2 linked regions of the Oryctolagus cuniculus genome follow. The protein of the gene in region 2 purifies or fractionates together with the protein of the main gene of each other region. This does not show direct contact. Links are inferred from orthologs where the notes say so. Each region holds a gene or a part of one and is shown on either strand. Other genes may lie near its edges.

What was found.
Region 1: the proteins of IKBKB (region 2) and CASP8 purify together in Homo sapiens (affinity purification with western blotting; 3 studies listed by BioGRID and IntAct, with this or other methods). This does not show direct contact. The link is inferred for Oryctolagus cuniculus from reciprocal best matches to the Homo sapiens genes IKBKB and CASP8.

Annotation. Positions count from the first base shown.
Region 1 is NC_091434.1:38,736,336-38,740,400, forward strand, and holds the start of CASP8 (caspase-8), read right to left. Parts: upstream 2,822-4,065; 5' UTR 2,604-2,821; intron 2,391-2,603; exon of another isoform or gene 2,340-2,390; 5' UTR 2,258-2,339; exon of another isoform or gene 2,087-2,257; intron 1-2,086. UniProt on the Homo sapiens protein: Thiol protease that plays a key role in programmed cell death by acting as a molecular switch for apoptosis, necroptosis and pyroptosis, and is required to prevent tissue damage during embryonic development and adulthood.
Region 2 is NC_091433.1:92,503,118-92,506,678, forward strand, and holds part of IKBKB (inhibitor of nuclear factor kappa-B kinase subunit beta), read left to right. Parts: intron 1-89; coding exon 90-197; intron 198-1,437; coding exon 1,438-1,567; intron 1,568-1,947; coding exon 1,948-2,142; intron 2,143-3,006; coding exon 3,007-3,121; intron 3,122-3,561.

The sequences.
Region 1 (4,065 bases), on a different chromosome or scaffold from region 2:
AATAGATAGACGATCTCTCTCTCTCTCCCTCTCTCTCACTCTCTCCCTTTCAAATAAATAAGTCTTTTATAAAACACAAATGCCATGAAATTCATTCTGACAATGACCACTGACATAGGCACCTGCGTATAGATAAAATTCTTCTGGAGAATTGGTTATCTGATTTTCAGGGGCCAGGAAGTTGTTTTCAGCTTGGATAACAGGCACATGTCTAGAAAATCTCCAACTATTTCAAGGCTAAATATTATACTTTTAAACAATCCATGAGTTAGAAAAGAAATCCAAAGAAATTTGGGTACTACTGTGAATTAAAAGGAAAACAAAACACATCAAAATTCTGAAATGCTGCTAAAAGCAGTACTCAATGCCTAGAAGGAATAGAGGAGCAGGAGGTGAGAAGTTAAAAGGGTGTATGGAGTATTTTGGAGGTAATGGGTATACATTAGTAGCATGATTGTGGTGATACTTTTCACCTTTGTATGCATGTAATATACATGTCTTTATCAAATTATACCTTTGAAGTATGTATCTTTTTTGTGTATTAATTTTACCGCATTGAAATGACTTTAAACAGATATGTGGCCAGTGGCCATATGATCGGCCAGTACAGCTCAAGTGCAACCACCAAGAGATTACTAAAGGAATGGATAATTGACAAACTAGGAAAGGAATAGGCTAAACCTTCTACGCCATGGCTCCAGCCCCAAATTAAACTTTTTAAAATTACTTAGTTCATCTAAAGGAAGTCAAGAAAGTTGAGAAAAGTGAACCATTGCTGCAAATAGAAAAACAACTAGAAAGATAAGTAAATTTAATTCCAATCTGATCAATAGTTACATTAAGTGAAAATAAATCAAATACGAGACTACATAAAAAATAAGAGACTAGATAAAAAAAAAAAAAAACACACTGCTTACAACAAACATGCCAAGAGTTAGGACACTGAAAATACAAGGATGAAAAAAAGGTGCAGAAGTTAATATCTTGCAAAGTAGAAATTAAATAAATATAATCAAAACTAAAATGAGACATAGACAATGCACACGATGTGGCATAATTATGTGCCTTTCCTAGAAGCTAAGAAAGAAAAGAAGTAGTGCTATAGCTCAACTAACAACCTTGACATGAGTGACATAAGATCCGTTAATCAAGAGACAATTATGTTATATAAAAATATCGAATTGAATGCCAGAAAAGATAGCCTTCCGTATATAAAGTGGTACGAGGAGGAGGACTGGGACGTGAGGTGTAGGGGGACCGCCGTCCCGCGCTCCACTGGTAAATGACTGTGCTGTCTCCTTCTCGCTTAGCCAGAAGATCTGGTGAAACCATTCCTTGCATCCAACAAGAAAAAGCACTATCGCAAGTAATCTATTCCATGCCCACCCTTTGTTATTTTCCCAGGTTGAAAAAGAACATGTGCAGGGAGACTCAGATGTAAAAGAGTATGTCAACATTATCCTAAAATCGCCAGTCTCTGACCAAGGATTATTCTAGAACTTTCCTTACACAGCCTGGGCTTCTATAGCTGAATCATTAACTGGGTGCTTTTGGTGTCTCCTCATGAATGGCATCCATCTGCCCACTTAGGTCCCTCCTGAATGACTTTAGCAATTTTTATCACTTTTCCTATGTATTTGTTAATTTATCTAATTGTAATGGATTCACTTCCTTAAACAACCTACATAAATAAAAGAACCATAAAAGAGCATTTTGTATTATTAGCACAAAGGAAAGAGCAATGCTTGTGTTATAAAAAAGGAACTGTGAAATTAAAAGAAAATTGTGACATTATTTCTCGGTTCTCGCCAGATGCTGTCACACTTCTTTGTTTTGTTTTAACAAGGAAAATTCGCGTGTTTTGAGACATAATGTGATGGCGTAGCATATGACACAGTGATGACAATGGGCTCTCCCCTCTGATGTCAGAGAGGTAGCAAGAGGGGAACTTCTCACTATGTCACCCATGGTCGTCGAACAGTGTGCCCTACCCAGCACCCCAGTTCCTACGTTGTTGTGGGGACACACATGTTAGGGGTCAACGCATTAGCTCCCAGCACAGGCATCAGGAACTTGACTAAATACTGCCCCCACGATTCCAGCACGCAGGAAACAGCCGCGGACTAAGAACCAAAGAGAGCCTGGGTAGGTCTCCGTTGGCACCACTTCCTGCAGCCCATTGTGTCCGGACGGAGCGTGACAGCAGTAACCATCACTTCTCTGCCCTCCAAAGCTCCTCTGGAAATCCCAGGCTCACCTCAGCGTCCACAAGGTCTGAGCGCTCCGGCCGCCAGGGTCAACCTAACACAGTCTGCAAGAGAGTGCCTTCCACGCTGCTCCTGGAAGGAAGAGGAAGTGACAGTGAGTGGAAGCGGCTGCCAATGCCGACGGTGAGCCCCTCCCTTTGCTGATCTGGCCAGAAGCCCACAGCCATTATGGAGAAAATACCTCCAGCTGTGAGTCAGCCGCTGGGGGCAGCCTCCCAGAAGCAGGCGACTGGAGGGGGTGGGGGGGGGGGGCTCTTCCTTTACCATCTGGAAAGCAGTTGGTGTGGCGGAAGGAGCAGGGTGTGCATTCACATTTTGGCTGTGCCCTTCACTTACTGCGGGATGTACAAGCTTCCTTTACTCCGCGGGGCCCGCTCTTTCCACGTGGAAATGACTCCTAGGTAAGGCTGGTGCCGGGCGGTGGGCCGCAGACATAGACACCATGACAGCGCGCAGGTGCTTCCTACGCGCCAGTGGCCTTGCTCACGGTGCCCCTGGGGCAGCTCCTGGCTGCCGTCTTCCTCAAGCTACTGGGTAGGGTTGGCAGACAGGCAGTTCAGCCTGGCTCACCCAGCCCTGGGACCCGCCCAGATCTCTGCGAGCCAGAACCCCAGGACTCTCCCTCCTCTCAACCTTTGCCCAGGTCACTGCCACCCCTGCCAGGAAAGTCCCTCCCCACCCCGGGGCTCACCCGCGTGTGCTCTCACCACTTCTGGGGCATTTGTTTCTCAACGCCTGGCATTGAGATCTGTCGTGCATTAATAGTGTTATTCTATGGAAAACACTCCCCTCCCATCTTCTCCCCACCCCACCCCCCAAATCCCACCTTCCTACAAATAAATTAAAAGAAAAAAAGCAGTAAATTTGTCCCCACATTTATTTGTGTATTTTTAGTACCAATTTTTTAAATATTTATTTATTTGAAAGGAAGAGTTACAGAGAAGCAGAGGCAGAGAGAGAGAAAGAGAGAGATCTTCCATCTGCTGGTTCACTCCCTAAATGGCTGCAATGGCCAGAGCTGGGCCGACCTGAAGCCAGGAGCCAGGAGCTTCTTCTGGGTCTCCCACATGGGTGCAGGGGCCCAAGGACTTGGGCCATCCTCCACTGCTTTCCCAGGCCATAGCAGAGAGCTGGATTGGAAGTGGAGCAGCCGGGACTCGAACTGGAGCACATATGGGATGCCGGCACTACAGATGGCGGCTTTACCCACTATGCCACAGCACCGCTCACAGTACTGATTTTAAAAGTGAAAGCCTCTCCTGTGGCTTTCTCTCTCTCTCTCTCTCTCTCTCTCTCTCTTTTTTTAAGATGTATTCATTTATTTGAGAGGCAGAATTACGGAGAGAGCGGGAAACAGAGAGAGGACTTCCATCCATTGATTCACTCTGCAGATGGTCACAACAGCCAGAGCCGATCCAAAGCCAGGAGCCAGGAGCTTCTTCCAGGTCTCACACATGGGGGCAGGGGCACAAGCACTTGGCCATCTTCTACTGCTTTCCCAGGCCATTAGGAGGGAACTGGTTCAGAAGTGGGGCAGCTGGGACTTGAAGCAGTGCCCACATGGAATGCCGGCACTGCAGGTGGAGGCTTAACCTACTATTCGATGGCGTCAGCCCCCCCCCCCGGGGGGGGGCTTTTTAATACTTCCTTGAGGCCACCACTGTTCCTGTTTTCATTGTTTGTTTCAGGCTTTTTCTCTAGGCTAATAAAGCTTTGACAATTTTTGTTCTGTCACTTTCCAGCTGTGTGACCTTCTGCAACGTCCTCAACATCTCGGGCGATCAGTTTCGTTATCCAG
Region 2 (3,561 bases):
TGGGGGCGTGCGTTTCTTGCATAGTTACAGTTGACGAAGGTGAGCTGACCCTTGGCCACTGAGTGACGTGAGGGATTGCACGTTTGCAGGCACTCGAAAGTCCGGCAGAAGAGTGAGATGGACATTGTCGTTAGTGAAGACTTGAACGGTGCAGTGAAGTTTTCCAGCTCTTTACCCTACCCCAACAATCTTAACAGGTAAACACAGTGGTTTATTCTTCTACCTATTTTACTTCCTTCTTTTAGAAATACAAGTTTGAAAAAAAAAAAAAAGAAGGAAATACAAGTCTGAGATGACATCGGATAACTTAAAAAAAAAAAGTATTCATTTTTATCGGAAAAGCAGAGAGAAACACAAACAGGAGATCTTCCACCTGCTGGTTCACTCCTCAAATGCCTGTAATAGCCAAGGCTGGGCCAGTCCAAAGCCAGGAGCTTGGAACTGAATCCTTGTCTCCCACGTGTGTGGCAGGGAATCAAGTACTTGAGCCATCCCCTGTTGCCTCCTGGGGTGTGCGTTTAGCAGGAAGCTGGGATCAGGAGCAGAGAAGTGGCATCTTAACAACTCTGTACAGAACGTCTATCCCTGATAACTTCTAAATAGATTATCAGCATATCACCCTGGGACTAAACATTTGGCATCATCTCTCCAGTCGTCGGTTTAGAATGTATTCCCCTCCCTCATCTCCCTAGAAGTCCTGTTTTGCAGGTTCACAGAATCGTTTCCTGGTGCTTCTTAATACCACTCGTACTTCTGCCTTGTGTTCCTTCTGGCTTTGCACCAGGTTTGACTCCTGTCCAGTGATAACTCTTTTCAAGGTGGGGACTCACAGCTCATTCTGTTTGCACTCCTGTGGCCTAGTACTGTGTCGTAGTCGACAAGCCAGTCTTTGCAGTGTGAGTGGCATTGCGGTCTGGTCTCAGGAATCAGATTGTAGACAGTGGTTGATTTGGGGGCTGAGTTAGCAGGGCAGGGGAGATGGAACACGCACCTAAGTAATTAAATTGCTTGGAAATGTTTGTGCTTTTGCTCTCTGCTTAATCCAGTTTCATTTTCGGTAATTGTTTATTGGCTGCCATCTATGTAGTAGTAAGATGTAGCCAATTCCTTTAGAATGTTTTTATTTATATGAGAGAGCCCACATCCACTGGTTCACTCCCCAAATGCCCGCAGCAGCCAGGGCTGAAGCCAGGAACTGGAAACTCAATCCAAGTCTCTCATGTGGGTGGCAGGGACCTGAGTGCAGTTCTGCAGGGTGTGCCACTGGTAGGAAGCCGGAGCTGGAGGCCAGAGCCGCGAATCAAACCCCGACAGTCTGATAATGGGGTATGAGCACCTTCCTGGGCTAAGGGCTGCTCCAGGCTTGCCGTTGTAACCTGCACACAGAGGCGGCTGGCGCTGGCCGTGGCTCTCCCCCGACACCCTCATCCTTTGCAGCATACTAGCCCAGCGCCTGGAAAAGTGGCTGCAGCTGATGCTGATGTGGCATCCCCGGCAGAGGGGCACGGATCCCACGTACGGGCCCAACGGCTGCTTCAAGGCCCTGGACGACATCTTAAACCTAAAGGTGAGCGCAGAGCCGCACCCGCCCCGAGGCCACGGCCGGGCCCGCAGTGGGACGCAGTAGCTCGGAAGCAAAAGAATGCCCAGGGCAAGGCCAGTCAAGGTGGGCTGGCCCCTGGGGATGTTTAGGTTCCTGTGAGAGGGCTGTACACAGGGGAGAGGGCAGAACCCCTGTGCTGACTGATGGACATCGCTGTTAAGGGTTTTGCTGTGGACAGACAGGACTATTAAACATGAGAAGAGATGAAACAGGGGCCCCGGCTCCCCTTCCTCACAGAGACCCGCGCTCTGCACCGGGCAGCCTTGGGAGTAGCAGAGGGTCTAGGCAAACATGGGCATCCGTGGAGACCAGTTTTTTCCAGTAACATCCGGGTTGTGTTGCAGCTGGTTCACATCCTGAACATGGTCACGGGCACCGTTCACAGCTACCCAGTGTCAGAGGACGAGAGCCTGCAGAGCTTAAAGGCCAGAATCCAGAGCGACACGGGCATCTCCGAACAGGACCAGGAGCTCCTGCAGGAGGCAGGTCTGGCCTTGATCCCCGACAAGCCCGCCACGCAGTGCATTTCTGACGGCAAGGTGAGCCCCCGGCTGCCCGCAGACCTTCCCGGGGAAGCACCTCTCACTTTCAGATCGCGGCTGCTTTGTCACGCGGGCTGCCTTGTTCTTTAAGTGTGGCTCCCCCGTGCGGCCCGAATCGCTGCATGCCTCCCGTGTCGCTTCCAGACCCCTGGGAGCGGCCTTCTGTGCCGTTCTGACCAAAACGATGCTTTCTTTCTCGGGGTCAGCCTGCACTATCTATGACTACGTCTGTGCGAGGCTGTGTCACACACCACAGTGTTGGAAGGTGTGGTGTGTCATAAGCCAACAACAGAGATGAAGTAGACGCATGTGGGTGCGGGTGAGACGTTTGGCCTGCTGGTGAAGACGCTGGGTAACACCGCCTAACACCGGTTAAGGTGCCTGTGTCCCATGTTTGAGTACCTGGGTTTGAGTCCTGGCTGCAGCTCAAGTCCAGCTTCCTGCCACCTGCACAGGAGACCTGGATTGAGAGTCCCCAGCCCCCAGCTTTGGCCTTGCGCAGCCCCAGCTGCTGTAGACGTTGGGGAAGCAAACCTATGGAAGTGGGAAGAGGGAGCGCGCCTGTGTGCACTCCTGTTCTCCCCCAACTTCCTGTCAAGCAAAGCAAAGCTTGAGAAAGAGTCATTTGCATAGAGCAATGCTCAGTGAACTTGCAGGCTGCACGGGAAAGACCACCAGGGAGCTAGAAGGTAACACATTGTGGTCAGCACGCGCTCGGACAGGTGCAGGCTGGCATCAGCGGAGGCTTCTGGAGGCTGTGCCAGGGGAGCAGCAGGAGGTGCCCCGACAGCCTCGCCGTTAGCAGGTGGAGGGGAAAGGCTTCGATCTGTGACATCGCATTCTGTTCTTGTCTTTTTGCAGCTAAATGAAGGCCGCACCCTGGACATGGATCTTGTTTTTCTCTTTGACAACAGCAAAGTCGCCTATGAGACTCAGATCTCCCCGCGGCCCCAGCCTGAGAGCGTCAGCTGTATCCGTAAGAGCGTCGTTTGTTTGCCAAATGATCGGTCACAGTGCTTGGGACCAGACAGCAGGGAGGGGCTGCTCAGGGTGCCGCGTCTGCCCCGTGCTCGGGGCAGCCTTCTGTGCTTGGGATGTGCAGGCCGTAGCCCTGGCGGAGTCGGGGAATTGGTCAATTCCAGCCTCACGAGTTGGAGCTTTAAACACAGGACAGAGAGTACCACTGCCTAGAGCCATTTTATTTATTTGTGAAGCTTCACTTATATTTTTAGTAATTAATGTATGATCATGATACCCAAAACCAAAACCATGAAGTACAAGAGAATGAATATTCTGTGAGAAGTAGGCCGTGCCCTCTCTCCATGCCCCGGCCAGTAAGCTCACCCGGTCCTCGGGTGTCCCTCGAGGGCTTCGGGTAGCCTGCGGCGTGAGCGGTTCCATGCTGCCTCGTTCCCC